Linked DNA regions of Mus musculus. The protein of the gene in region 5 binds, or shares a complex with, the protein of the main gene of each other region. Links are inferred from orthologs where the notes say so. Each region holds a gene or a part of one and is shown on either strand. Other genes may lie near its edges.

The links.
Region 1: Ncapg (region 5) and Smc4 share a complex: the UniProt entries of both Homo sapiens proteins name them as parts of the condensin complex. The link is inferred for Mus musculus from reciprocal best matches to the Homo sapiens genes NCAPG and SMC4.
Region 2: Ncapg (region 5) and Ncapd2 share a complex: the UniProt entries of both Homo sapiens proteins name them as parts of the condensin complex. The link is inferred for Mus musculus from reciprocal best matches to the Homo sapiens genes NCAPG and NCAPD2.
Region 3: the proteins of Ncapg (region 5) and Ncaph are in contact, whole or in part, in a crystal structure (PDB 6IGX), measured with the Homo sapiens proteins. The link is inferred for Mus musculus from reciprocal best matches to the Homo sapiens genes NCAPG and NCAPH. Residues at the interface, in NP_071741.2 of Homo sapiens: Lys11, Phe14, Arg15, Gln18, His50, Tyr51, Lys53, Tyr54, Val55, Met56, Val57, Glu62, Ala64, Val65, Val68, Phe102, Ser106, Glu108, Ala109, Asn110, Ser111, Val114, Arg115, Ile149, Arg150, Lys152, Asp153, Lys154, Arg159, Glu188; in NP_056156.2 of Homo sapiens: Glu471, Ile472, Asp473, Phe474, Glu475, Asp476, Asp477, Ile478, Phe480, Val482, Tyr483, Phe484, Arg485, Lys486, Thr487, Ala489, Ala490, Thr491, Ile492, Leu493, Gln501, Asn502, Trp503, Ala505, Thr506, Thr507, Leu508, Phe512, Tyr514, Val516.
Region 4: Ncapg (region 5) and Smc2 share a complex: the UniProt entries of both Homo sapiens proteins name them as parts of the condensin complex. The link is inferred for Mus musculus from reciprocal best matches to the Homo sapiens genes NCAPG and SMC2.

Annotation. Positions count from the first base shown.
Region 1 is NC_000069.6:69,006,960-69,012,796, reverse strand, and holds part of Smc4 (structural maintenance of chromosomes protein 4), read right to left. Parts: intron 5,609-5,837; coding exon 5,430-5,608; intron 4,869-5,429; coding exon 4,677-4,868; intron 3,314-4,676; coding exon 3,137-3,313; intron 3,026-3,136; exon of another isoform or gene 2,962-3,025; intron 2,896-2,961; exon of another isoform or gene 1-2,895. UniProt on the Homo sapiens protein: Central component of the condensin complex, a complex required for conversion of interphase chromatin into mitotic-like condense chromosomes.
Region 2 is NC_000072.6:125,166,553-125,172,389, forward strand, and holds the end of Ncapd2 (condensin complex subunit 1), read right to left. Parts: intron 5,396-5,837; coding exon 5,281-5,395; intron 5,208-5,280; coding exon 5,084-5,207; intron 5,002-5,083; coding exon 4,846-5,001; intron 4,542-4,845; coding exon 4,364-4,541; intron 4,270-4,363; coding exon 4,175-4,269; intron 3,663-4,174; coding exon 3,582-3,662; intron 3,447-3,581; coding exon 3,263-3,446; intron 2,438-3,262; coding exon 2,311-2,437; intron 2,197-2,310; coding exon 2,038-2,196; intron 1,768-2,037; coding exon 1,682-1,767; 3' UTR 1,455-1,681; downstream 1-1,454. UniProt on the Homo sapiens protein: Regulatory subunit of the condensin complex, a complex required for conversion of interphase chromatin into mitotic-like condense chromosomes.
Region 3 is NC_000068.7:127,112,497-127,118,333, reverse strand, and holds part of Ncaph (condensin complex subunit 2), read left to right. Parts: intron 1-108; coding exon 109-257; intron 258-721; coding exon 722-828; intron 829-1,679; coding exon 1,680-1,802; intron 1,803-4,663; coding exon 4,664-4,774; intron 4,775-5,837. UniProt on the Homo sapiens protein: Regulatory subunit of the condensin complex, a complex required for conversion of interphase chromatin into mitotic-like condense chromosomes.
Region 4 is NC_000070.6:52,436,390-52,442,728, forward strand, and holds the start of Smc2 (structural maintenance of chromosomes protein 2), read left to right. Parts: upstream 1-2,831; 5' UTR 2,832-3,021; intron 3,022-3,811; 5' UTR 3,812-3,866; coding exon 3,867-4,034; intron 4,035-5,863; coding exon 5,864-6,013; intron 6,014-6,339. UniProt on the Homo sapiens protein: Central component of the condensin complex, a complex required for conversion of interphase chromatin into mitotic-like condense chromosomes.
Region 5 is NC_000071.6:45,689,448-45,695,284, forward strand, and holds part of Ncapg (condensin complex subunit 3), read left to right. Parts: intron 1-2,154; coding exon 2,155-2,379; intron 2,380-3,709; coding exon 3,710-3,891; intron 3,892-4,304; coding exon 4,305-4,479; intron 4,480-5,837. UniProt on the Homo sapiens protein: Regulatory subunit of the condensin complex, a complex required for conversion of interphase chromatin into mitotic-like condense chromosomes.

The DNA.
Region 1 (5,837 bases), on a different chromosome or scaffold from region 5:
TTGGAAAAACACGTGTATACATTATTAGACATCAAACCAAGAGCCTCATGTATGCAGATAATCACTACCACTGAGCAATATTCTATCCCCTTGGGCTTTTTAAAATTTTGCCTAAGTAACTTTCACTTTTGCTGCATTTTGCTGACTATAAGTTAACTTCTACCTTCCTCAAGTACATTTTACTCTAATTTTTCTGCAAAAGGACAAGTAACCAAATCTCTAACGTTAGTATCTGTTTAAAGTATACAAGTAAAAAAGAGAATGCTCTTGTGGTTAGTTCTCATATCTATTCTGTGTGCTTAGGGCACTCCTAGCTTGGTTTTCATAGCTGAGACACTGGATAAAATACCTTTGGAAAACTGAAGTATTATTACTATTAACTCAAAAAAATTCTTTTGAAATTTAGTCACAGACTAACTCACTTTTAATTTTTCTTTATTTCTACAGATTAAGAGACTATAAAAAATACACTTATATTCAGGCCAACTCTAAAAGTCTATTAAGAAACATGAACATCTCAGTTCTAAGTTAACCCATTCTCCAAAGTAGAAAAGAGTAGCAAAAATCATTTGTTTCATTTTGTTATAAAAGATGAAAAGCTATGGAACTAAAAACGGACCAAATCAAAACCCTGCTTTTTAAGGAATTTACAAACCCACTTTCAACACAGCCATGTATTAATTAACTTAGAAGGGTAACAGAAGCACACGATTATCATTTCTCTAACCCAAATGGAACAAAATCACCCACTCATGGAGCAAACCAGTAAAATCTAGTTAGTATCTATGAAACATTACCGGCTAATAATAAAACCTTTCTTGTTTGGGCCAGTAAGTCTTAAACATCATAGTCTCTCCTGGAACATACAAAACTATGTAAACCAATGGTCAACCAACTATGTGACTTCTTGTGAAGTACACACACCCATGTATAGCTGTCCATAAGGATAAGAAATAGCCTTTATGCATTTTTAGACTAATCTTAGCACAGTGCCTCACTAGAAACACATTTAAACAGTGAAACCTGGATCTGGATAATAGCAAGGCTTAAAGAAACATCAATCTATAACTAGTATAAAAGCCTTTTCCATTTCTAAAATTTAGTTCATTTTAATATTTAAAAACTTGCTTTTTCTAAATTTAGATTACATATGATGTAATCATTATCACTGTCTCTGCATACTTACACCCTGGATGCTAATACTATGATAACTATCTTCAATTTTCTAGCCCCCCCTAACAAATGTTAGTGAAGAGAGAATGAAATAAAAGCTACAATAGTACTTACCTTCCTTCACACGATTTAAATCTTACTAGTTGAAGAATCAAAGATTTTTGATAAGGAGCTAAGAAAAACTCAGAAACTACTTCCACTTTCAAATTTAATAGAATTCTGAGTTCTATCTAGTTGCTAAAGTTCTTATCTAAGTTCAACCAAATCAAACTGAATGTTAATTAGAATGTTCAACTTAGTATTCTTTGGAAAGAATATAAAAGTTTAATTGTGACAAGGGTTCAGTTAGGAGGACCAACAATCAATCATCTTTAGTACTCTAGAAGTAGGCGTTAATATAAGCTCAACAACTTATTTATCTCTTTGGGAATTTACTTTATCAGTTTTCTTCATTAGCAAATTATGTAGAAGTAAATTGTACAAAAACTTTACAAGATCTAAAATATAGTCTATTTTGTACTGGCATAAAACTGATCTCAGAATAAAATAAAGCACACAGCAAAGAATAAACCAAAGATTAGTATAATTCCCTACAAAACTGTTACCACCATTAAATTTAAGATTATAAAGAAATACAACTTTTTATCCAATTAATTAAGCCAAATTCCTGAAAAAATGGAAATCTATAAACAGTACAATTCATTTAAAAAACAAAGCAAAATACCTACAGTGGCATAAGATTACAGCTATATAAATCCAAATCTTATTTACACATATATCTGCAACTGATTCTTTTCAATATTTACTTTTAAGTAACACTGGTTCACTAAATTATTGTAAATGCACTGTTCTGATATTTAAGGGGTATTCTAGAAAATTATCATTTGTCTTTTATACTGTGTATGCCTCAAATAATAATAATGCCTTAAGAATATAATGTGAAATTTGTGAAAAGTATGTTAGTGGAACACTTAGTTACACAACAGAACATTTTAAATCACATTGAAACTCCCAACTTATTTTCAAAATCAGTAGCACAAGATGTACTGTACAAGGCACAGCTGCTCTGCATAACAATCTCTCTTTTTACATTTTATTTATGCTCTTAGTAGACTGGGATAGTATTTTAAAAAAAGCCTTTAAATCAAAACAGCAATTTCATAGTCCCTAACAAGGCTGTATTTAAAAAAAAAAAAAAGTAGGAAAGACAAAATTTTCCTTCTGTTACACTATCAGAATATACTTTTACTTCCATAATCACACCAAAAGTGGAAAAATAAACAAACAAGCAAGCAAAAAGCAAGAAACAAATAAAATACAAGGTCTAATAATAAAAAAAAAATACCAGGAACCTAGTGTTTATATTTCTAAGAACTGATACTAACAGTATTGGTTTAAGAAATTAGGTCCTCATAAACAAATTAAATTCACCCAGAGTAAACCTTTATGCAAGTATAATGTTAAAAATATTACATTAGGTACCCAGGAAAACTTGTTGTGATATCAAGTATATGGTTTTTATATTATTTTATATTTAAATATCAATAAACAAAAGGGACAGATTATCAAAAGATTTTTATCTAAACTGTTATCTTAAAGGGAAATAACAAACAGAAATGAGTTGCTATATCCCTGTCACACTAAAGCAGCACAATAATATTGGTGTTTAATATTTATTTCACTACGCCAATATTTACGTGCTGCTAGAGTGGAACAAGCATGTCAGATATCCAAACATAATACAACTGTGATGGTACCATATAATCTTGAATGAATTTCCTTAAATTTCTAGAGCAGCAAATAATGATTCGCATCTTGACTGTAGTATGTAAACCATGATGTGCTGCTACAGTACTTTAAGGTTCCAAAAGACAGGACTCAGCAAACAGAAGAACACTCTTTCAAGCTTTAGTACAAGCCAAAAATCAAAAACCAAGAACCTTGGAAGAATTTTTAAACGTACCTGCAAGATTAAAAATCGATTATGGTCTAAGTCAATGCCATGGCTTCTAAGGAGATTTCCAACATCTTTAAACGTCTTCTTCTTCCCACTTATGTGGTAGACAGAAGTGCTATCTCTGTAGGCGGTTCTGGATACATAGAAGTTGCTGTTAGGAAGGACTTCGTAATCATCTCCTTCCTGTTTTTAGGAAAAACAGAACCCGAAAACTGTTGGTATTAAATCACAGGTTTAATCCAGATTTCATTTACTTTATACTGATACTAATTCAACAGATTAAATATTTTTCTTGTATTCTTTAACAGATTCAGATGTATATAACGAATTTTAATCCTTTTCACCTATTGCTTGTTTTATTTCCCCTGAATTATGTATGGCCATAGGCTGACAACCATTTTAAAGTGAGATAAAAAATAAATTGCTTTACAAAGGACTAGATACTTCTCCAAGTTGTTTGGTTTATTTCTCAAAAATCTCTAAAAGTTTAAACCAAGCAAACACAAATTTCAGCCTATTCAAAATATATCTGAATGAGAGCCAAGGAAGGCGAACAAGACCTCAGCATATCTACAACAACCCACTCCACTCAGATAACCTTGGTGACTGTTAAAAAGCTTCAAGAAGAAACAATTTAAGGAAAATATTTAGGGGAAATACTTTTCTGGTAGTGGTAGGGTCTGCGAGTAAAGATTGTGTATGATTGTGTGTGTGTGTGTGTGTGTTTGTGTGTGTAGGGAGACAGGATTCCCTTTCCTAAACAGCATTTCCTATCATTAATTAGAAGTAAACCATCATAAAAATTTGCAATCATATACATAATAAAGGAAATCAAGTTATAAGTCCATCTTAGCATTAAAGTTCATTTATTCTTAAAAGGCTCCGTGTCATATTTAATTTTGGATTAATTAAACAACAGGTACTAGACTATCATGACTTATTGGCAATCTAATTCTCTAACTCAAATGTGCAACAGAATGAATTCAGAAGCAAAATTCTGATAGATGCTTCTGTGTAGTTAAATTTCTTTATATGTAAAACATCCCCACCAGCATCCAATTATCTGTTACTTTACTATGGGCACTTATTTTTTAAGGTTCTTTTCCGTTGCTTTTTGAACCATGAATTTTTCTAAGCTATTAAACAGATGCCTGTCCCCTACCATTTCAAAACATACTTCATCACGGTAGTTCAAACCTTAGAAAATTTCATCTCTCTCTCTCTCTCTCTCACATAGCTACTAATTATTACATTTTAGAGTCAATTATTGCATTTTAAAAATTAAAATGTTTATCCTAAAGCAAAAAAATGTACAACTTTTCAAATGAAGCCCATATTTATAGTGAGTGAATGCTGAATTAGCACTTAGGGCCCCTACATCACTGTATTCTTCCAAAAAGCTGAAGTAAATATGTTCACAGAAGCAAAATCCATTTCTTATTGCTCTAATTATACACAAAGTAAAATAAAGAACAATTCAGATCTACAATAACAAAATGTGGCATGTTTCCTTTTCTTGCTTGAAGGTGCAAGTAGAAAATCTTACCTTATCAATTATCTTTTGAAAATGAACTTCTACAGTACAACTCTGAATATCCTTGTGTTCATCAGAATTATGTATCAGTACCGATAGCTTTTTAGACCTTATTTTTTGTGCTCGATAGCCAAACACAAAAAGCATGGAATCAATAACATTGGATTTTCCACTGCCATTTGGTCCAATAATACAGGAAAAGCGCTGCATAAAAGTAAATTTTTAAAAATTTAAATAGTCACACTTAATACTAATTTTAAACTACTCCATAATTTAATTTGTAATAAAAATCAAAGGTATCATTAAAAGTTTTCATTAGAAGATAAACACTTTTTCTTTCTTTCTCTTTAGAAATAAAAGCAGTTTATTAAGAAAAGGAAAGCACCCTAGGAATGGAGTGGGCCAGGGAACTGAAGGAAAACACAATCTGAGTTTTCTTACATCATGTTCTTCAATAGCACAAGCTTCACCATTTAAATAAAAACCACCTTCAAATTCTAATCCCGACATTTTACAAAACTCATTAGCACAGTCAACGGGGAAAACATTCCCTTCTAACAAAAACAGATTCCATTCAATATGCAAATATTGCTAAAGATATACCAAAGACATCAGATAAAGAAAAACTCATTCCTGTTGTTGAAGTCACAGGCAACATACTGTCTGTGCGTCTATGAGCATATGTGTGTAAAGAGTCAGGACCGTTAGAACACTGAAATATCTTGTAATTAAAGATGTATTCCACGTTATCTGAGCAGGCAGTACCTTATGGAAAGGTCCCAGAACTTTCTCTCCAGCATAGGACTTGAAGTTTTGGTTTACAATATGAGTTATCATGAGACGAGGAGCTCCAGCTTCACTGGCCATGGCTGGAGGTGGGGGTGGAGGGATACTATTCAAAATCTCCTCTAAACTTCTGTTATCCAGCTCCTCACCTGGAGGCTCTAGGTTAAGGGAGAGGCAAAGAGGGGAAAGCCTACATTAGTGTAATTAGTTGAACGTCTATCATCTGCTAGTATTTAAAGAACACAATGGAGGGATGTTACTTAAAGAAACCTAGGAATTTATCTTCCATACAAACATATCCTAAACTCATGGGGATGGATAATCCTTCAGATTAGTTTTATGTAAAATAAAATTCGTGAAAGCAATCAGACCAGTCACAAAATGTGT
Region 2 (5,837 bases), on a different chromosome or scaffold from region 5:
TTTCACCCACTGTAGCCCCAGGGTGGAGAGTTGGGACGTGAGGGCGGAAGTCCCTCCCCATCCAGGGACGTGCTGACTGGCCCTGGAGCCAGGGACTCTCCTTTTTTGGCTGCCCTCGTGGACACAGGGTGAGATCAGTGAGGGGAGAACACAGGAGAGGAAATATTATACCCCTGAGCCAGGACAGGGAAGCCCCTAGCCTCTTGCCACAAGTGGAAGGGAGAAAAGGCATTCTTTGGTTTTATTTTGTCTTTTCGAGACCGGGATTCTTCACTCCGAAGGGTAGGGAGGCTGGGAAGGGTGGAAGGGCTTGGGAGCACTGTAGCAGGTGCAGGGCAGGGGGACTCTGGCGCCTCTTTGCTAGGCCAGTGCAACATGAAACCAGCCCCCTGCTCATCTAGCTCAAGAGCCTATTGCTAAGTTTAGCTGGCCTGGTGATAACCTTTGCTTAAAAGGCAGGGAGCACGCTGGGCTGCACCCCAAATCTAGTCTTGGCTCCTTGCCCTTCCAGATTGCCCTACCTCCTTGGGGCCCCAGAGCCAAGGCTGTGTTAGACTGACAGCTGTGTGGCCCGTGCCCAGGCTTCCCATGAGCGGGGAGCAGGCCAGATGAACAGGGTGGGAAGGGTGGGAGTGGCCCCAGCGCAGTGGTGGGGAGGAGAGGCATGGCAGATTCAGAGTCCCTTTTCTGCCTTCCTACCGAGGCTCTATGCACAGCGTTAACCCTTTTCCTACCCAAAGAGCCCTTCCATAGCCCAGCCCTAACCTAGTGTTTCAGAGGTGCACCTTCCCTTTTGCCTCACGCCTGTCATCTATCATTACTGTCCCCTCACCAAGAGGTAGGGAGCACTTCAGCAGCACTGTGCTGTTGTCATGGCAGCAGAAACAGCAGTTGTGCCTCCTGCTCCAAGTGACTCAGCAGATTAAGGGCTTGGGGATGGTGGGCACACAGCATGGCTTACAGCTGGACCTCCTGCAGACCCCTTAGTGTAGTGAAGGACTGGCTCTGGGGCGATGGACCTTGTCACCTATAGAACTGAGTGGGGTTCATAATCTCTGCCATTAGCCAGGCTGAGTCATTTGCCAGTCTTCGGGGGATGGGGTGGGGCGCACAGAGGAAACAAACCTTAGGTCTAGAGCAGCATTTCTCAAGTTGTGTACTCCTGACATGCTGTGTTATGGGGCACAATGTGCATGAAGGTGGCCTTCATCTTAAGGCTTTCACTGCAGCCCCCTGCCCCACAAGGCAAACAGAAATAAGTCTCTAGGTATTACCGAATGTTTTCTGGGGTGCAAAGTACCCCAGACTGCTGAGAACTGTTCACGTGAACCTAGAAACCGCATAATTCTGCACAGCAGAGTTTCAGTTGTGCAAGGATGAGGCACCACAGGGGCCATGAAGATCCAGACACAGCTCAGGGCTAAGGATGGGACAGACCAGCCAGGACAGGATGCTTAAAAGTCTATAAAAACATTTATTCATTAGAAAACAGCAATTGGCACAGGCTCGGAGAAAGGGAAAGTGGCAGCAGGGCTCTAAGAGAAAGACCTCAATGCAAAGGCCATTTCCATGTTAAAACCACAGACAACAAGCACTTCTACAAGGGGGGGGGGGCACTGAATCCAAGATCATCCAGTAAGATACCCTGCACGGCAGGGACGGGAGTAGGCAAAGGCAGCTCCTAGGACCTGTGTCTTCGCCCAGATGCTCTGCGGATGGGGGTGGTTCTCTTGGGTGTCTCTTCTTCTGTCATCTCTGCTGAAAGTTCTATTCAAAGAATTATAGGAACAAAAGCTGAGTCATAAAGATGGGGCAAAATGGATCTCAAAGTAAACACATGCGCGCGTGCGCACGCGCACACGTGTGCACACACACACACAAACACACACACAAACACACACGCACACGGCACACTGTGAAAGTCAGCCGAGCTGCATAGTGAGGAAGACATGGCCAGGAAGAATGAATCCACAGCTAGGCAAGCCCCACTGGAAGACCCCACACAGGCAGCTGATCTGTTGGGAGGGTGTATCATACCGTCCTCACTGGACTCGTCACTCAAGAAGACAACTTTGGCTTTCCTCTGGGACTTCTTGCGCTGCTGAGTTTGTGGACGACCAGGTTTGGTACGTCGCGGCTTAGGTGTGACAAAGTCATTGTCTGAGTCTACAGAAGTCAGAGGCTGTAGCCTTGAGACTAGAAAAGAAAGGCAAGGGGACCATTTCAAAACCAAAAACAAACCACAAAGGAACAAAAAAAGGGTGGGGACCACTCATAGGAGCCCCATGTGGGCTTGCATCCCTCTCATACCAGCGGAGGGTTTCTTGGCAGACAGGGCTCGCTGGCTGCCTCCCTGGCCAGTTTCAAACTCCTCTATTCCATCCATGCCTCTGGTGTGACAGGCACGAAGCTTCTGCTCAAATTCATCTATTATAGCCTGGAGGACAGAAAGTTAAAGACAGGGCTGGAAACATTATCTCCCTGCTTAAAAAGAAATAGCCATGAAAAGAGAGAAAACTAAAGAAACCAATCTGAAACTGTGATTCCAACTAACTGATGCCACCACAGGGGTGGGGGGTAAGGTGACCTCAAAGTCCTGAAAATGCCCAGTATGACACAAGTGGTAAGTATGTGCCACTGTGTCCAGTGAGTGGACTTTGGATGCTGATCTGTCAATCACGTTCCTTCATCCAGGACCACGTATACCAGGACAAGAAGGTCATGGGGTGGAGGCCATGCGGGTGTGGGACAGAGCATATGGGAGCTCTACTTACTGACTTTTGCTTTAAACATGAAACTACTCTAAAGAAGCAGTCCAGTGCAAACATGTGCGGCATACCTCTACTACCAGGAGACAGAGGCAGGGGAATCTCTGTTAGTCTGAGGCAGCTGGGTCTACATAGCAAGACCCTATCTCAAGGCCTTCACTGGGGCTGGGAAGGTGGCATAGTGGTTAGGAGCACTGGCTGCTCTTACAAAAGACCTGTGTTCAGTTCTCAGGGCCCACAACAGTCTAACTCCAATTCCAAGGGGACTTGGCACCTTCATGCAAACATATACACAGGCAAAATACCAATGCATGTTAACAAAAAAGGAAATGAATGGCCTTTAAAAAAGGGACCAGGAATTAAGATCTGGTCTTAGTCACTCTGGTTCCATAGCTGTAGTGAGGCTAGCAAGGCAGAAAGTTCAGACAGGAGTCTCAGAGCACTTAGGGAGGCAGATGAAGTTTACTGCACCGGAACCTAACAGGACCACTCACCTTGCCCTCAGGCTTGGCCCCGCGACGCAGTTTGCCCACAACTGACAAGAAAGCACTGAAGACAGACTCATCTAAGAGCTTATCGCCAAAGCACTCAAAGTTGTCTAGCATCTTCTGGAGACCTCGCTCTGTGAGGGGCAGCTGGGACATACAGTAGGCTAGGTCTCGGTACTGACGCTCAGTTCTACAGGGAGGGAGAGACTCTGTGAGGCACACACATCCTCCCCCTTCAGTCTCCTTTGGTCCCACGGATGCCACCAGGGACTCTCTCTTCTGAAAGGTCCCTCTTAGCACAAAGATGTCCCAAAATGGAGCATACCGGGCTGTGCGGAACCGCTGACACAGCTTTTCTACCAAGCTCTCAGTCTGTTTGTCCTTGGTGATGTAGGAGAGGAGCTGCCTGTGAGGAGAGAGTGTACGATTGGCCAGGAAACCCCTTTCTCAGCTCCTACACTGAAGCCACCACCCCAACCCCAGCATGGCCTCTTCTGTCCTTGCTTTAGAAGAGAGTTCTTTGCATGGCCTTCTACCGCCTGTCCTCTGGTCTCCTTCCCTTTATTGAGAAAGCAAATAACAGCTGCCACCTAGTGACTGCTACTATGTGCCTCACCCTCACCCTCAAGCAGCACCCTACCCTATGTAAGAGCCTCCACAACTATGCAGCAAGTCCTGTCAACCTCATACGGTTAAGACGGGCAAACAGGTCAAGTAACTTGTGGAGAAAGTACGGCTAAAATGTCCATCTAGAGCTGAAGACAGCGGCAGAGTGCTTGCCTAGCACATGCAAGACCCTGTGTTCATTCTTCTTCATTCTTTGCATTCCATCCATCCATCCATCCATCCATCCATCCATCCATCCATCCTAAGTCTGTGTGCCCCCCCCCCCACTACTCTAGATCTAAAGAGCCATACTTCATGATGGTGTGGAAGGGCTCCTCTTCCACTCCGCCCTCTGGGTCTGACAGGCGACTGATGATATCGGGGAGTAGATTATAGATAGCATTGCCCTGTAGGAGGAAAAGGATGAGATGAGGCGGGGAGCAGCCGGCAGAAGTGGGACCTATCCATCTCCCCGACAAAGCCCCAAGCTGCTTCTCTCACCTTGTGGGAGAGCTCATTGAAGAAATTCTTGGCCAGAGCAGCGATCTGAGGCACAGGGTCGATGAGCAGCACGGCCATCTCGCTCACCTGCCCCTTCACCTTCACCATGTCCTTCAGGATCAGGTGCGTCATCACCAGCCCCGCTGTCTTCCGCACTTGTTGAGCTGGGTCTCGGAGGCTAGGAATAAAAACTCTAGTCACTAAGATCAAGAACTCGTGTTTGTACCTTGAGAACAATAGGAAGGCCTTAAGAACAAGGATCTATTGTTCCACAGTACGCCAGTTTAGAAGCAGCTCCAAGGCTGGAGTCAGGGACCACGAGATCTGTAGGCAAGATTTTAGAGGGAAGCTTCAGCTCCCAGTGCCCATTTCGGGCCTGCTTGTACAGGGTGAACAGCCAGCAGGTACCGAAGTCAGTGCCACGGGTGGGGGAGGAGCCCGTGAACTCTTAGTGGGTCTCAGGTGGCCCAGGGATCTCTTACCGGGCATACAGATGAGGAGTCCAGGGATCCACCAGGTTAGGGAAGCGGATAGCCAGATCCCCTGTGGCAACCATGAGGTTAGATCGCACAGTGGGGAGTGAAGACTTTTCCAGCATGGTGAATAGAAGACGAAGCTGGGAGTCGCAGAAAGGGGCACTGAGGGCAAAGAGAGACCCATCAGGAAAGCAAGAGGGCTGTACCATCTCATGTTCCTTGAGATGAAGCCAACTAGGCCTACCTGATCATGCAGAACTTGCCAAGGGCCAGCGACGCAGCCGCACAGAGCTCTGGGTTGCTGTATAAGCCAGGGTTGTTACAGACTTTAAGTAGCAGTGGAACAAAGGCAGCTAGTACCTGGTTGCCTGACAAAAGAACATGTCCAGGTTAGGGACAGATTGATTCAACTGGGGGAGGGCACATAGCGATCTTTCTTACCGTCCAACAGCTCCTTCTCACAGATGCTTCGGATGAGCTCCGCCTCTGTGTCGTCAGCAGTGGCCCCCCCCACCAGCCCCAGTTCTTCCTCCATTGTAGTTTCAGAGCTTGCAGTCTGCAGGAAGAGAAGCCAGGGATGTTGGGTGACCACTTTTCTTTTTTGAGACAGGTGCTTACATGGCCCAGTCCTTCCTAAAACTTTTATGTAGATTGGGCTAGCCACAAATTCACAGAGATCTGCCTGCCTCTGTCTCTTAAGAGATGGCATTAGGGAGTGGCAGGAGGAAAGAGAGAGAGGCGGGGGCGGGCATTAAAGGCGTGCACCGCTTCACCCTGCTTTAAGACAGACTTTAAACTTTTGTTGTTTTATGAGTCTCTCTCCCGGCATGTATGCAATCGTACATGTGTGCACTGCACACGGAGGCCAGAAGAGGACACTGGGTTTCCCTGGAGTTGGAGTTACAGATGGTTAGGAGACACCATGTATGTTCTGGGATCTGAACTCAGGTTCTCTTCAAGCGCGCTTAACCTCTTGAGCCATCTCTCTCCCCGTAAGA
Region 3 (5,837 bases), on a different chromosome or scaffold from region 5:
GTGGTAGAAGAGGTGGCTAGCATTTCCGGTTTCATCAGTTTCTTACATGTAACTACATGGTTTATATTCCATGCCGTGTACATGAACATGATTTCATATGTGTTACAGGGAAGAAGTTATTTCCCTCGAGGACAGAGACATCCAAGTCATGTGCTCCTTTTTATCCATGAAACCTGGGGAATATTCCTATTTCAGTCCCCGGACCATGAAGATGTGGGCTGGCCCAGATCACTGGCGCTTCAGGCCTCGACCCAAGCGTAAGTCCTGTGGGTGGGACTTGTAGACAGGGCAGTGCAGCGGCACATGCTGCCTGCGGTCTGCAGTAAGCAGACAAGAGATGCTGCTGATCTCTGTCCTTTGCATCTCCTGAGGAGGAGCTAAAGCCGGAGAGCTGAGCCAGCCTCTGTCTGCGGTCAGTGTCAACCTCGGGAGAGTCAGCAGGAGGGGCAAGAGGGAGATTTAGTCGGGAGAACAAGGCTCATGGCCTTACCCTGCTTCCACGGACCAGTACGACTTAAACTGTAGGAGCCTCTCTTAAATTGGAGGGGCTGGAGGAAGCCCCTCCAGCCTTCTACAGACATTAAGTTAGGTGGGCATGAGGTGTAGTGATGTGTAACTGCCATAAATTGCACCTTAAGCTTGACAAGGCCATTGGTAGATGTGAGATGAGAATACTGTTGACACGGAGACGAACGGTGCTATAAACTGTTTATTTCTGCAGAAGATGCTACCTCCTGCACAGAGCACAAAAAGAAGAGTGCAAAGAAAGACTTTGAAATTAATTTTGATGATGATATTGATTTTGATGCATATTTTCAGAAAACAAAGGTTTGTGCCGGATCTCCGTGCCCTTCTTAGATGACTGCCCTCCTCTTGCCCTTTCAGACAGGCTTTTCAAAAGTCTCTTAACAAGCTGGGTGGTGGTGGTGGCGCATGCCTTTAATTACAGCACTCAGGAGGCAGAGGCAGGCAGATCTCTGAGTTCAAGGCCAGCCTGATCTACAGAGAGAGTTTCAGGACAGCCAGAGCTATACAGAGAAACCCTGTCTCGAAAAATCACCACCACAACAACAAAATCATTGTACAGCCTGGTGTAGTGGTATACGCCTTTAATCTCTGCACTCAAAGGCAGAGGCTGTGGCTCTCTGAGTTCCAGACTAACCCAGGTTTCATAGAGAGACCCACAACAAAAGAAGCAAGCAGAAAGTTATTGTATATTTCAGTTTTTGTTTTTTAGAAATAGGGTCTTATGTAGCAGGCCATCCTCACCTCAAACTTGCTATATAGATGCGGCTGGCCTTAAATTTTTGTTCCTGACTATACTCCCCAATATGCCACCATGCCTAGCTATAACTTTAATTTGGTAAGCAAGTAGTCTGTTCTCTCCCTCAGTCCCTGAGGGACCATTGAGAAACAAAGTCAGTGGCAGGGTCAAGAAAGTTTAGGGTTTTAGATAGGGTAGCACCATGTAGCCCAGTCTCCTGCCCTCTACAGGGCTGGCCTTGAACTCATGCCAGCGCGCCTGCCTCAGCCCTCTGAGTACTTTGGTTAAGTGCATCTGCTCTCGTGCCTAGTACAATCACTTCATCACTTCATCAGACAGACCCGAGAGTTGCAAGTAGTAGAGCAATGCCCAAACCCATTTGTCAGTTATTAAGAATTTTTCTTTAAACAAATAGGCTGCTACCATTCTGACCAAGTCCACTTTGGAGAACCAGAATTGGAAAGCCACCACTCTTCCCACAGATTTCCACTATGAAACTGATAATCTGATCCAGCTTCACCTCAAACCAGGCAAAAGGGTAAGATGGTGCCTCCCTTCCTTTAAGCTGTTGTGGCTGCCAGGCCTGTCGATGGCCTGTGTGGATCAGGTGGCTTGTCCTGTTGCTGATGTGCAGTACCTCAGAGGAAAGGAGGGAGGCCAGGAGGGGTCACAGAGAGTGGATGGTGAGGTAGAGCTGAGGACAGAGACTGCAGAGCCCTCACTCAGAGAGCTCTGCCTGCTTACAGCCCATCGCAGGGTCTCGGAGGGTTCCTCCTGGTTATAGCCCATCACCTGGGTTACACCCCATCACAGAGAGCGCTCCGCTCAGGTTACAGCCAGCTCTGTAGTTCTGCTCTTGCACTGGTTTGTAGTTTCCTCCTTATCTTGTCTGTTCTTCTACATGAGCTTGCGTTCTTTTCCTCTAGGGCTTGAGCATGTTCTAACTTTTGTTTTCTTTTGTAGCTCAGGCTGGCCTTGAACTCGCGACATATTCCCAACTTGCCTCAGTCTCTGGCTCCTCATGCTTCCGCATTTTTAAAAAATTTTTTAAAGATTTATTTTTATGAGTACACTGTAGCTGTCTTCAGACACACCAGAAGAGGACATCAGATCCCATTACAGATGGCTGTGAGCCACCATGTGGTTGCTGGGAATTGAACTCAGGACCTCTGGAAGAGCAGTCAGTGCTCTTAACCGCTGAGCCATCTCTCCAGCCCCGTGCTTCAGCCCTTTGAAGGACCAGGATTCCAGTTGTGCACCACTGTGTTTAGTCACCGTGCAGTTTTAATGATATGCATATATTTTCCTTAGTTCACCAAGATGCTACACTCTACTTAAAACAGACTGGCATGTTTTCTTTCTGATCAATGTTGTTCACTTAGCAGAAATGCTTTGGTAAACACAGGAATCGGCAGCTGCACAGCACTGAGTTGCAGCTCTTGATGCCAGCAAGGACAGACAGTCTGGTGCAGGATGGCAGAGCAAGGCTGAGCTACAGCCGCACAGCAGAGTCCCCTGGATGGCTCCCCTCCCTGTGGCTGTGATTGTGGACTTTTCAGTAGGCTAGCCAAGATGGTAATTTGCATATTGAGAGGAGAATGTGATGGAGAAAAGCCGTCCTATTGTAGAGTCTGGTTTTTACTCTTTGATTTCCCCAACCCCTGTCAATAAGTAGCTGATTTTCTACAAATTGCTTTTGTTTCTTGTTCCTGACCCCCACCCCACTCCCACCCAGAAGCTTATCCTGTAGCTCAAGCTAGCCTGAAACTGTGTAGTCCAGGTTTCTGTCTCCACCTCATAAATGCTAGGACGAGCCCCCATGCCTTGCTTGTCAGTATTTCTTTGAAAGAAAGAACTTGAGGTCTTTATTATACTCAGAATCATATGAGAGGCAGGCAGGCAGGCAGGCAGGCAGGCAGGCAGGCAGGCAGCAGGAGCTGGAGGTCCTTTGTTCTTCCACGGAGCTACACTAGACGCTAGAAGTTTGGCAAGGGGCAAGCTTGCACATGCACAGAGAAGGGCTTCCCAGTGGAGAAGAGCTCCATGTGTCATGAGAAACAGTGGAAGGACGTTGGGCATCTCTCTTTCCTTTTTTTCTTTTTGGTTTTTTGAGACAGTGTTTCTCTGCATAGTAGCCCTGGCTATCCTAGGATTAGCTTTGTAGACCAGGCTGGCAACTCACAGAGATCTGCCTGCCTCTGCCTCACAAGGTCTATGATTAAGAGCATGTGCCAGCATTGCTCGGCTAGTGGGCCATTCCTTAACTCACTCAATGTTTGATATTATCTTTGAATTTGTATTATAAAAATATTGTTTTAAACAGTTGATTTTAGATTGTATTAGAATCATCAAGATAGTGTTGCAAGTTAAATCCATCTCCAGCTACATTCTCCTTAATTCAAAGGCATATTCCAAGGATAGCCGACAGGGTAAGAGCCACAGATGCTTGAGGGCTGTGGTGCCTGAGCCCTCCCATAGGGAGGCACAGTTCTGTGGGCTGTGGAAGGCTGAATGAAAACTCAGGGATAAGTAGGGGAAAGAGCTTCTTTCTTTGCTGTGTGCTTGCCCCAGTAAGGGGCAGCTGCCTTTATTATTTTATTTTTTGTGTGCACGCGTGCGCTCATGCTTGTGTATGTGCTGGGACAGATGTAGATTTGGGGTGTCTTCCTTGTATATCCTGTGTGGGAACATGCACATGGGTACCGCAGTGTGTGTGTAGAGGTCAGGGGATAACTTGGAGGAGTCAGTTTTCTTCTTCTACCATATTGAACCAGGGGATTGATCTTAAGTTGTCAGGCTTAGTGGCAAACAGCTGCACCCACTAAGCATCCTCCCAGCTCCTCCTGAGACAGTGTCTCACGTCGCCCTGTAGTCACCAGTTAGCTAAACTGGCTGGTCAGCACAGTTCTAGGGACCCATCTCTTGGCTTTCCTGAACATCTGCTTTTTTACATGGGTGTTGAAGAGCCAGACATAGGCCTCATGCTTGCAAGGCCAGCACTGTACTGAGTCCTCTCCCCAGGCCCCTGTGGGCTGCCTTTAAGATAAGGAGTTCTTAGCAGGGTTGTTCAAGTACAAGTTGAGTTTCTTTTAGAAAGTTGTAGATGGGTGGCCAGCCTTTGGTTTTAAGTAAAACTGCAGAAGATGCAGTTTGCAGAGCAGAAGAGGAAGTGTTTTGGTTTGGGGGGTGAGTAGTGGCTCTGAGTCCTGTATCTTGTGTTGTTCTGTGCAGTAGAGACTTGGTTAGACTATGTAGCCTTTTAGCCACACACACACACACTCTAGGGTCATGTCCTGCTAAAATGAGACTGAAATAGGAAACAAGATTGATATCCCCAGCTTCGCCCAGTAGCTGCTTTTTTTAGAGATTTCTTTTTGCACACCCCCTCCTCTATTCTAGTCACTTAAGATGGACCAGGACCAGAAGGCTAAGACTGAGCACTATGAGGAAATTGAAGACTATGATTACAACAACCCTAACGACACCTCCAACTATTGTCCTGGACTTCAGGTAAGGGGAGAAGAGTTCTTGCCTCTTCCAAATGGTGGGTAGTCTCTTCCCTGGTTTCTGATGCCCTCTGTCTCAGTGTATAGCAGTGAACAGTGCTGAGAAATGAGCTGGCATGGCCGCTTTCCTCATACTCCAGGGGCAGGAAGCAGTGGGCAGGATCTGTGGGGTGGTTTGTATATGCTTGGCTCAGGGAGTGTCAAGTAGGTATGCCCTTGTTGGAGTGGGAATGTCACTGTGGGTGTGAGCTTTAAGACCCTTCTCCCAGCTGCCTGGAAGCCAGTCTTCTAGTAGTCTTCAGATGAAGATTTAGGACTTTCAGCTCCTCCTGCATCATTGTCTGGACACTGCCATGCTCCCACCTTGATGATAATGGACTGAACCTCTGAACCTGTAAGCCAACCTCCATTAAATGTTGTCCTTTGTAAGAGTTGCCTTGGTCATGGTGTCTGTCACAGCAGCAAAACCCTAACTAAGACACTCTGCTAATGAATAGACAAGTGGATAGGCTCTGGCCTGTACAACACAGCACTAATCTTGGATATTGTGGAATTTCAAAGAAATATAACTACACTTCCTGTTCATAGGAGCTAATATTTTGGCTATGAGTTGAAACAAGGCATGCGAAAGTGGTGTGATCTAGTAGGGCCAAGAACTCTCTGGAAGTACCTACTTATCAGGAGAACTTGTCCAAGCCTTTCCTCATTCTCAGACCTTGGTGGGCATTGCTAATTTGTTTCTCATTGTGAGTCTCCTGAAGAAACAGCAAATAGAAGCTATGGTGAGGAGGACAGAGCCTCCTGTGACCCTTCATGCAGGGAGGACAGAATTGGACAGTCATTTATTCTGTTTCTTTCTCTACTGAGGGGAGAGATTGTTTTGTTTTAATGAGGATCTAGTCTGACCTCTTGGCCGATGCTTCTGCAACTTCAGCGCCGGTAAGGACCAGCCCTGGAACCTGTTCAGAGCTCTGCCATACTGCCTATGTCACAGTTCTCATCCGTTCACTCTGGGCTTGGTTCTGAGAATGGCTTTCTGTGAGTGGAGACTGCAGACCAGCATGAAT
Region 4 (6,339 bases), on a different chromosome or scaffold from region 5:
AATGGAGGAGTTAGAGAAAAGACTGAAGGAGCTGAATGGTTTGCAACCCATAGGAAGAACAATATCAACCAACCAGAGCTCCCAGGGTCTAAACCACCAACCAAAGACTACACATGGAGGGACCCATGGCTCCAGCTGTATATGTAGCAGAGAATGGCCTTGTAGGGTATCCATAGGAGAAGAGGCCCTTGTTCCTATGAAGGCTGGATGCCCCTTTGTAGGGGAATTTGAGGGCAGGGAGGTGGGAGTGAGTGGGTGGGAGAACACCCTCATAGAAGCAGGAGGAGGGGGGAAGGGATAGGGAGTTTCTGGAGGGGAAATCGGGAAAGGAGATAACATTTGAAATGTAAATAAATAAAATATCCAATTAAAAAAAAACTACTAAAAATGAAAAAAAAGAGAAATATCAAAAAACAAAACCCAAAACTACTTAGAAAGAAAGAGATTAGCATCACAGAAAAGGTATAGACAATAACGGAGGGGTGATATGAGCAAAGGAGACATACTCTACATATAGAAATATGTCATAATGAAACCTATCATTTTATATAATGAGTACAGCATAATAAAAGAGTACACTTAAATACTTAAGTACCTGTACATTTTTATCCATTTGTCTTAAGGATATCATCTAGCTATTCGTCTATTAAGGTAGCCAACATACTAATGATGTCTGTCTTAATATCTGTCTTAAATTTTTATCCCCCAAGCAAGTAATAAAATTTGTGAAAATCCATGTTAGATTTGTCTAAAAATCAAAATTCCTTATTCATAAAAAAGTGATCAAAGGAATATAGCAGAGCTGAAGGTGAAAATGTATAATTCAACAGAGCCAACATAAATAAGTCAAGTCATTGGAGTTCAAGAGTAGTAGGAATTACACCAGACAAAATATCTTTATTAAAGTGGTGTTAGCTAATTTCACAGACAAATAGGCTGATACCACAGGAAGGCAGGTAGCATACTATTATAGATACTGTACTGTTTCTTTTTTGTTTCTTTGTTTTTCGAGGCAGGGTTTCTCTGTATAGCCCTGGCTGTCCTGGAACTCACTCTGTAGACCAGGATGGCCTCGAACTCAAAAATCCGCCTGCCTCTGCCTCCCAAGTGCTGGGATTAAAGGCGCGCGCCACCACTGCCAGGCAGTCTGGCACTTTTTACTTGAGAACCTGCTGCCAATGCTTGCCTAGGAAGTTCTCAGGTTCAGGAAGGCGATCTTCACTTTCCTCCCTGTCTACCACTGTAAATTTCAGCATGCACAGGACCTGCAGTTCTAAGCCAGTATTGAGAGGGAAAATAGAAACAATCCTCCATCCTAACCCAGAAGCTATATCCAATTGATAACTGCTGCAGAGCAAATCATTTTTCCAGTGATGTCTGGGTGTACAAACCATATTTAAGGGTAGTCCCTCCCGATGCCTAGCAATAGATGGCCAACATAAAACGAACTTAATGGTATTTTTAGAGGGTTTTTGTCTCACACTGCTTTGTCTGAACATTTCCATTTAATATTAAAAATCTTTTGTTTATTATGTATTATGGTTTCTGCTTTTGTTTTTATGTTTTGTGTGTATATCTCTGTGTGAATGTGTCTCATTGTGTCTCTAATGCTCTTTCTTTGGCTTTTTTCCCCCTCCTGTTTATTTGGTCCTTCTGTTTTTAAAATCTTATTTTATCATCATCATTTTAGATGTCTGTTTATATTCTTATGAGAAAGAGAAAAGAAAATGTGTGGATTTGGGTGAGTGTGGAAATGGAGGAGGTTCTAGGAGAGGTTGGGGCGGAGAAAACTAATCGGAATATACGGTAGGAAAAAAAATAAATTTTCAATAAAAAAAACAAAGCTAAGCCCTTCTCTTAGTATTGATGCTTAAATATAAATAATCCCAACACCATTTTTTTTTTAAATTACATAGTTGATGGGGATCAGCTCTAACTAGCAATGTAAAATTAGCAGTTGTAGATAATAAGTTTAGGAGTACACACTCTGTAGTTAGGCAGCCTGGAACAAAAATCTCTCTTCACTTATAAGTCGTTTAACCCAGTGATTCAATAAACTCGTCTGTACAAAAGGAAACACTAGGGTTCCACGTTTGTTGAGGAAATTCTTGACAGCCTTTGAAACACAGCTACCCGATCTACAGAACTCTGTAAATACAAACTGTTATTAAGAAGCTTCAGCAACATTTCGTGAACCGGTACGTCAGCCACTGCTTATCATTAAACAGGTTTTCGGCATAAAAAAAAAAAAAAAAATCTTACAGCCGTTTGCCTAGCATCTTCCACCAAACTCCACATACTGCAGGCCTACAGTCCCCTCCGGAAACTGGAACTGGTTTTGGTTTGTGTTTTCAAAGCCAGTGCCTTTCTCTTCAATTAGTAGAAAATGAAGCCTCAGAGGACTTTTCTCACTAGTGTTGGTTTCCACCCTGTAATATCCTCGAAGGGTCCCGGGACCCCCGGCCCGCCCCCGCCCCGGCCCGCCCCGGCCGCGCCCCGCAGCAAAGAGCGTAGACCGGGAGGGGGCGGAGCCTGCGGACAGAAGCCAAGGCTCCGACCGATAGCCTGAAAGGGCCAGAAAGAGGGCGGGGCCGGCAACGCGCGAGGCCCAGACCTGGAAGAGGTGCTGCCCAGAGCATGCCTGACGCGATGTCAGCACGACCTATCTTCATTTTCGCTTTCCATGTTCAAAACGGTATAGTCTCCTACCTTCCAATATTAAAACTATTATTTATTGTCGCTATGTCGTTTCTGTGTTTTTCCTTAGGGCAAAAGAGGAAGCGCTTCAGTCAGGCAGATACTAGGCACCAACAGAGCGCAGACGCCTCGGAGTTGGGGTCCTTTGCTCGCGCCGAAATTCAAAGGAACAGTTCCGGCACGGTTGTTGGCTGCAGCGGATGCGGTGCCCGGGATGGTGGCGTTCGCCCGGTAGCGCCTGAGTACAGGTCGGGTGGCCTCACTGTCCACTTTCGCGTCGGGTTGGAACTTTGCTGGTTCCCCTGGCCAGCCGCTTTGTGGCGGGTGCGTAGTGCTGCTCTTGGCCCGGCCTGGTGTCCAGGCGGGAGATGAGGCACAGGGGTGGGCAAGATTCTCAAGGAGGGACTTGAAGCGAGAATTAGAGATGTTGACTGTTGTTCATCCGTAAGGTGAATCGAGAAAGGCTTGGGCAAGCGAGAGAACACGGAATTTTAAAACGAGGCAGTAGAATGGATTCACTTCGCCCTTAAGGTTCACTAACTACCCGGGTTCTGAGAGTCGAGTGTAAACAGAGTTAAGGTCGTATGTAGGCAAAAAAGCACAACGGGACCGAGAATGAGTTGGAAAGACGGTGCCGACTGATGTCATCTTTTACTGCTGTGGAGGAAAAAGGAAGGAGAGGATGGGTGTGCGTGCTATTAGGGAGATCCATGAAGGACTCCTGTAAGATGTATGCTAAGTGGTGTGCAGTAAAGAGTATTCAGTCCAGTGTCGTCTGTGGCAAGGATAATGAAATGGGAAATAATTAGTAGTCTCTGTTAACTACAGTATTGTAGTGCAACACGAACCTAGGAAAGTGGACAGTAATGATAAAGATGATTTTTAGGTTAAATGGTTTAACTTACCGGCATTGGCTAACGGTTGGATGTTTTAAAATCTGAGCCAGCTGTTTTTAGGAGAAAAAGTAGTTTGGCAGGTGTATTTTTTCTTTTCTTTTCTTTTCTTTTTTTTTTTTTTTTTTTTTACTTTACGTTATTGTGTATCCTGTCGTATTTACTATGATTTGAGGGTTTTTAACATTCTACATAAATGATCTTATTTCTGTTTTATACAGACGTGACTTGTAGCTTGTTGCCTAACAGGCTTACTAACCCAAGACAGTTTAGAAAATGTATGTTAAATCAATCATTCTCGAAGGATTCAAGTCCTATGCACAGAGGACTGAAGTCAATGGTTTTGACCCCCTCTTCAATGCGATCACTGGTTTAAATGGTAGTGGAAAATCCAACATATTGGACTCCATATGCTTTCTCCTAGGCATCTCCAACCTGTCCCAGGTAAAGTGTCAGCTTTTCTGACTTATGTGTTGGCAAGAGAATCTGTTAATCTGTGGAGACTTTGGGTTTTCTTTCTTTGCATGTTTGTACTTCATGTGTTTTGTTTGTACTTCATGTGAGTTATGTTGTGTTGCAGTGCAGCCGTTTAAGCAAATACTATTACTGTTTCATCCTGTAGACAGACGAAAAGATACATACAGAGGCCTTGCCTGAGGTTTGTCCTCCTAAGCTGTTGGGAGTAACACCCATACCAGCATACCAGCACTGTTATATTGGGTAGTCTCTGTTCTCAGTCCATACCTGCTCTTTTTTTTTTTTTTTTTTTTTTTTAGTTTCCCACATTTCTTTTTTTTTTTTTTTTTAATTTTTTATTAGGTATTTTCCTCACTTACATTTCCAATGCTATCCCAAAAGTCCCCCATACCCACCCCCCAACTCCCTTACCTACTCACTCCCCCTTTTTGGCCCTGGCGTTCCCCTTTACTGGGGCATATAAAGTTTGCAAGTCCAATGGGCCTCTCTTTCCAGTGATGGCCGACTAGGCTATCTTTTGATACATATGCAGCTAGAGTCAAGAGCTCCGGGGTACTGGTTAGTTCATATTGTTGTTCCACCTATAGGGTTGCAGACCCCTTTAGCTCCTTGGGTACTTTCTCTAGCTCCTCCATTGGGAGCCTTGTGATCCATCCAATAGTGAGCATCCACTTCTGTGTTTGCTAGGCCCCAGCATAGTCTGGGTCCTTTCAGCAAAATCTTGCTAGTGTGTGCAATGGTGTCAGCGTTTGGAAGCTGATTATGGGATGGATCCATGGATATGGCAGTCTCTAGATAGTCCATCCTTTCGTCACAGCTCCAAACTTTGCTTTGTCTCTGTAACTCCTTCCATGGGTGTTTTGTTCCCATTTCTAAGAAGGGGCAAAGTGTCCACACTTTGGTCCTCGTTCTTCTTGAGTTTCATGCGTTTAGCAAATTGTATCTTATATCTTGGGTATCCTGATAAGTGGATATTAGCCCAGAAACTTAGGATACCCAACATACCTGCTCTTTTTGAAGGGACTCTTGTTGGCCTCTCGTGGAAATATGGCTCTAGCAGGCCATGCCCTTCCATCCAGTCCCTCTGCCTTGCTAAAAACTGTTAGATTACATTCCTAAAGTTAGCCACCAAGGTCCATTCCCTTATTTTGGTCACTTCTGCCTCCTGAGGCTGACTGCCAAGGTCCAGCTATCAAAGTATTGAAGTCCAGCAATCAAAGCACCCCCCCCCCCTGGCTCACCTAATTAAAATGCCCAATCAAAATTAACCAATTTATCCTAACATGGGGGTTTCCCATTTATGTTTATAAAGTGCTGTTTGTCTGTGGAGCACAGCTGTCTCCCACCCTCCCAGAGGCAGTCCTTTGTTGTCTCTACTCCCAAACCCAGGACAAATACCCCTTTCCCTTTCCCTCTCCCTCTCCTTCCCTCACTCTTGTGTCTTGAGCCAATACTGGTTCTTTCACTTGTGCTTACAGTGAATGCCCTATCAGAGTGAACTAATGGGCATGGGATGGCTAGTGAAGTTCATAGACAGTACTTCCTTGAGTTTTGAAATTAATTCTTGCTAAGTCAGTAGAAATTCAAAACAGAAAGAAAGTGCTATTGAAAAAAGTACATATTATAAGTTATTGTCTGTAGTCCTTGCTTTTCTTGCTGACGGATGTGGCTGCCTGTTTTTACTTAACGTAACACTATATAGGTGGGTTTTCCAGAACAACACATATAGTATTAATCCTGCTCTTGTATAATATGATGCTTTGTCAATGAACTTTCCTTTCCCTTTTTAATTATAGGTGCGGGCTTCAAATTTACAAGATCTCGTTTATAAAAATGGACAGGCTGGGATTACCAAAGCCTCTGTTTCAATCACTTTTGATAATTCTGACAAAAAGCAGAGTCCGTTGGGATTTGAAGCTCATGATGAAATCACAGTAACAAGACAGGTGAGTAGCTGTCAAATATCTGGATAGCTTATGTTGTGTGGCATTGTTTCTTGAAAGATCTGCTCACCCCAAGTAGAGAACCAACAATAGACCAAAGCATGAATACCACCACAGTGCAGCTTGGTAAACCATTGAATTGTACTAGGATTACTTACAGGATTTGGGGTGAGGAATTATTTACAGAAGTAGAAATGACTCAAAGACAGCTGCGTCATCCATAGCTCACACAACTAGGAACAGAGAGCACACTGCACAGCCTGCAGACAACTTGACAGATGAGAGAGTATCTTTTCTATCATTTGGTCTAGTTTTAGAGCAGTCTCACT
Region 5 (5,837 bases):
GAACAAGAGGACATATGGCTAGGAAAATAAGCCAAATGCAGTCTAACAGGAGAAAGACTGTGGGATGTCTGTGTGCTCCAAGAACTTACGCTGTAAAAATGCAGATTTCCATTATGAATGAGTCAGGGAAGAAACTGTTGGTTTGTTTTTACTCTTTTGTCCCAACCCACCCACTGCATACCATTTTACCTCTTAAAGCCTCTGTTCTGTTTTGATTTCATGTGTCCTATTATTCTCCTAACCCTTTCTTTTTCTTTCTTGGGCATAGCCCTGGCCCACTTATATACCTACATATAAATACTGTTAACTTGGGATATGAAAGTCTAATAACTTACCTAGGTTAAATCAGTTGTTGGATCTGGCCTTTTTTTTTTTTTAAAGTTAAAAGTATTTGAATGATAGCAGATTCAAGGGCAGAAAACCTGAAGTTTGCCTATATTTTATATGTTACTTTGAAGTATAATTTTTAATTTTTAGATATTTTTTATTTATTGTTTAGCTTTTTAAAAAGTTATACAACAGGGTCTATGATCAAAAGAAGATAACTACTAAATGGATTCAATCTTGTAATCTTTATAAAGGTTTTTAAAAATTATTTGTTTTTGATATTTTGAGACAAGGTTTCTCTATGTAGCCTTGGCTATCCTGGACCTTGCTTTATAGAATAGGCTGGCCTCAAATTCAGACCCTCTGAATACCTTATTGAATACCTCTGTTCCCAGAGTGCTGGCATTAAGGATATGTGCCACCATGCACAGCTCTATAAAAGGTTTTGTTTTTTTGGTTTTTTGTTTTTTTTTAATTTTAAATAAGCATTCTCAGGGCTCTATTGGAAGGTTTTTTTTGTTTGTTTGTTTTTATTTTGGAATAAAAAATATCAAACTGTTAGTAATAAAAATTGATATAATGTATAAAGGTCTGTTAGAAAGGCAGAAGAGGGGAATTAATTTGTTTTAAAATCTCATTAGGATTGAATATTGGTAGCTATTGCTGCATGTAAAGGTTAATGAGAGTATGAAGGAAACAGTTGATGCTGAGCTAGTAGCATATTTGGAGTTTCCAGAGCCATCGTAACAGCATGTAAAGAGAATTTGGTTTTGGCAGATTTACAGGGCTCATTCTCAAAGCATGGAGTGGATATGTTCTTGACATATTCTTCAAAGTTTTTAGAATAAATAATTTTTCTAATTATAATAATTTGACCAATATAGAAGTGATCTTTGTTTATTTTAAAGGCCAAGTTACATTGTATAATATAGTTAATCTTTCATAGTAGAATGCCTCTGCCCCCATGGTTTTGGAATTTGTTGTGTAGTTTTTAACTCAAGATAGATTTAAACTATTTGTGTGCATATACAGAGATCTATGTTGGATATCTTTCTCAGTCTCTCTTCTAACTCTGACAAGGACCTCTCACTGAACCAGGACCTCCTGGATTTGGTTAGGTTAGTCGGCTAATGAATTTCAGGGATCCACGTGTCTCTGTGCCCCCAGTTCTTTGGTATCATTGTGCACTGCTATGCACCTAGCTTCCTGTGTGGTTGCTGTTTATCTGAAATGAGGTCTTCCTGCCTATGTTTGACAGGCCCTTTATGGATTAGGTCATTTCTCTAGCTCCCTAAACTGCTTTATAAAAGACTACTTGATACCTGAATTCACTATTAATGAAATCTGAATTTACTAAGTAATGAGAAAAATTTTCCTTCAAAGAAACTTAATAGTACTGACTGTAACAAAGGTTTAAATGGATTAGAATATACTGTATTAATATTTTTGATAGGCAGGTAAAACAATTTATATATAAAACACAGTGCAGTTTTTCTGGATCTTGGACAAATGATAAAACTTTATCATAGTTGGAGTTCTTTTTTTTCTTTTTTCTGTTTTGTTATGAAAGAACCAAATAGCACAGTCCATCTGGACGCTGACTCTGAAACTTTTTTCCACTGCAAAAATTAAGGGCTAAAGCTCCAGATGTTATGAGATAAACATACTTCTTTTTTAAAATGAAAACTTTAATTTTAATTCTTAGAAATGTTCACACTTAACACTCATTGAGATTTAATTAAGAAAAGATACTAATTTTATTTAGGTTATAGAATTAAGTTGTTTTACTGAAATTATTGGGGGGTGTGTGTTCATGTCTAATTGTAGGTTTTGCAAATCGATGATGTCACAATAAAAATAAGTGCTCTAAAGGCAATCATTGACCAATTGATGATGTTTGGAATTGAGCCATTTAAAACCCAGAAAGTTAAGGGCGTTCAATGTGAAGGTGAAGAAATAAACTGTCATGATAAGCAAGAAGAAAATGATGCTGGAGAGACTGACCCAGCTAAGAGTGTTCTGAAACTCCTCTCCGACTTCTTAGACAGCGAGGTAAGAAGTCACCCAGCTCTACAGTTAGGAAGCATTTGCAACACGTGTTTATGTTCTTTGCTTGAATTTTGTACTCGTTTACTTTTAACAGGATTTTATTTGGTTTTAAAAAAAAATCTTAATTTAAAATGTAAATTTCACATCTACTATATTTTCATTATCAAACTAGTGTTCAGAGAACTGAAAGTGCTTTTGCCACATTTCTGTTACTACAGTAACAGAAACGAAATTAGAACAAGTTGTATTGAAAATTAACATAGTTTTCATTTTTAAAAATACTTTTTATTATTTAAAACAAGTATTAAATTTATTTTGTTTTTTCTTCATTTTCTTTTTGGATTGTTCACTGCTGTAGTATAGAATCTCAGCTGAGATTTGTGTGTGTGTGTTTAACTTTATAACTTTTTTGAATTGGCTTATTAAGTAATTTTGGAAAAGGAATTCTGGGGATTTTTTTCTGTGTAGAACCATGTCATTTCTGAATAGCTACAGTATTAATTCCATGTCTTTTATTTCTTATTTAATTGTTCTGCTTCATCTAGTACAGTGTTGAACACCAGCCGTTAAGTGTCTGAAGCAAATGTCCTTGTCATATTTGTGAGTTTAGTGGAAAAGTTGAGAATCTTGTTAATAAATGTGTTAGTTACAGGGTTTTTCATAAATACTGTTTATCATTTTGAGATAATTACTTTCTATTCTTATATCCTTGGCTGTTTTGTGTTTATATCTTAATAAAAAGATGTTTGATTTTGTCAATTGTTCTTTCTGCTTCAGGCAATATAGTCATGAGGGATTTTCTTCTCTTTGATATGTTGTATGGTATGGAACATTACTTGATTTTCATTTGCACCATCAGTGGATTTCTGGGTTAAGTTCTGTGTGCTCATGATGTATAGTCCTTTCACTGTTGATGAGCTAGGTTTGCTACGATTTTCTTTGGTTACTTCAATTTTAAATTTTGTTTTCCTCACAGTCAGATTAATTGCTCTCTTCTTGTTATTACAGTGTAATTTAAGTTATCATTTTGAGATTTTTTTAAAATACATTTTTTAAAAATTTTAAAATGGAGATATTTATTACTGCAGAACTTCCCTGAGCACTGTTCATTGCAATCCCATAAGTATTTTATTTTAGTTCTGATCTTTGAGACAGTGACATTCTGTAGCCCAGGTTAATTTAAAACTTACTGTGTAGTCAAGTCTAGCTTAAAACCTGTAGAACTCCTTTTATCACATGCATAATAAAATTAATTTTTGGATAGTTATTTTAAAATATCACACATAAAGGAAACTAGAGATAAAAACTTTCTAATGAATGTCATTTTTGCTAGGTATCTGAACTCAGGACAGGAGCTGCAGAAGGACTAGCCAAGCTGATGTTTTCTGGGCTTTTGGTCAGCAGCAGGATTCTTTCTCGTCTTATTTTGTTATGGTATAATCCTGTGACTGAAGAGGATGTTCGACTTCGACATTGCCTAGGAGTGTTTTTCCCCATGTTTGCTTATGCAAACAGGTAGTGAGTCACTGATTAAATCTTACCTAAAGTCAGGTTCAGCTCTCCCCACCTGAACTATGTCTCGGCCATTTTGTTCTTGACACACTTTTCTATAGATGAATCATAAGAATGTAACATACATTTTATATACCCAGATTTCTCTTTCCTGCATATGTAAGGTATAAAACGAACTATATCTCTTCAATAGAGAGTTTGTGAATATTTTAGATTTAAAACTTTTCTCTTAAATAATGTTTTGCCAACTTGCGAAAACATTGGAGCTTTTTTGTTGTTGTTTTTTTGTTTTTGTTTCAAATCATTTCATTCAGCAGCTTTAAGTTGGAGTGGCAAAGAGGTTAGTGGGATCTGAAGTCTTCAGCAGGGCAGATGTCCTTGGCCTTGTACTAAAAGTCCTGATTTCTTTTCAATAGGACTAATCAGGAGTGCTTTGAAGAAGCCTTTATTCCAACTGTGCAAACACTGGCCAATGCCCCAGTGTCATCTCCTTTAGCTGAAGTAGATGTCACAAATGTTGTTGAATTGCTTGTTGATCTGACAAGACCAAGTAGATTAAATCCTAAGGCAAAGAATTCTCAGGATTATCAGGTATATATGGTAGCCTGTGGATAGCAAATATAACTGCATGAAGATCATTGTTGTTTGATTAAAGAAGCCTTCTCCTGGGATTTTTGAAATCATGATGAACTACATTTATATTTTGAGCCTTTTGTTTTTCTAGTATATAAGACAGTTATGGGAGGCAGGGAAGTGTGTCTTTGGGTAAATGTGGAGAAATGATGAAAATAGAAGTGATCATGGCAAATGTTTTGCATCCTAGAAGTTACTAAAACAACATCATTTCCATTACCATTCTCCCCACTTAGTGAGGTGATCACTGAAGTAAAGACTTCTGTTACTACGTCTGCAAATGTTGGCTTGCTTGTTATGCTGTTAATACTGAGGAGGGAGGACAGTTTAAAGGTGTTTATCTCAAGATTTTTTTTTAATGAAGCATATAATAGAACTACAAACTTATCTATAAATTATAATGAAATTCAATTTTAAAATTCTTTAATGATGTTTGAACACTTAGAAATTTGATGGGTTAATGATTTCAGATGCCAACTGCAAGTTAACAGTTTTGTTCTATCTGTATATTTATTTGCTATTTAGTGACTGCTCTGCTCGAATCACATTTGTTATTAGGAGGATTATATTACAAAGGATATTAAGCAAAATATATTAATAGTGATTAGCCATCAAGTGCTTTTGGACTTCAGAAAAGTATAAGATTCATTATAGGAATGATGTATGTATCATTAGTTTTATTTTCCTTACAGGGTATTAAGCCTATGTATGGTCTGACAGGTGCTAGACAACTGTCTGTTTTACTGCTGAACTATATCCCCAGCCCTCTTGTCACTTACTTTGAGACAGGGGGCTCAGGTAGGCCTTGAATTTGCAGTTGTACTATCTCTGCCCCCAAGTAGATAGGACTATAGGTGTATGCCATCAGACTTGTCTGATACTAGTTTTAAAACTCATTTGAGTTTTAAAAATTCTCTTGTGCTTGGTTGGATTTGAGAAGTGATTTAAAGTAGAAAGGAAAGATGTATACCTAAAGATGTATACATAATAAATGTAGATGATTATACAGTGGCTGGAGTTGGCCCTATTTGTAGTGTATATATAAGACTTAGTATTAAAGGGTTAATAGCATGAGATTTAGTTATCAAGAAGACTCATTTAATGGTCACTTACGGTTATATGAGATGAAGTGGTGAGAAGATTTGGGGAAAGTTTGAGAGGCAAATGAGATGGTAAACTCTGAGGAAAGTCTACAGTCTTTAGTGAGTAACAGTAGACTTCATAGACTTCTTGGGAAAGTAAGCAAAGTAGGCTGGGGCATAGGCTGGATTGGATTGGCATGCAAGAGTTTCAATTGATTTGTATAAGGGGTTCCA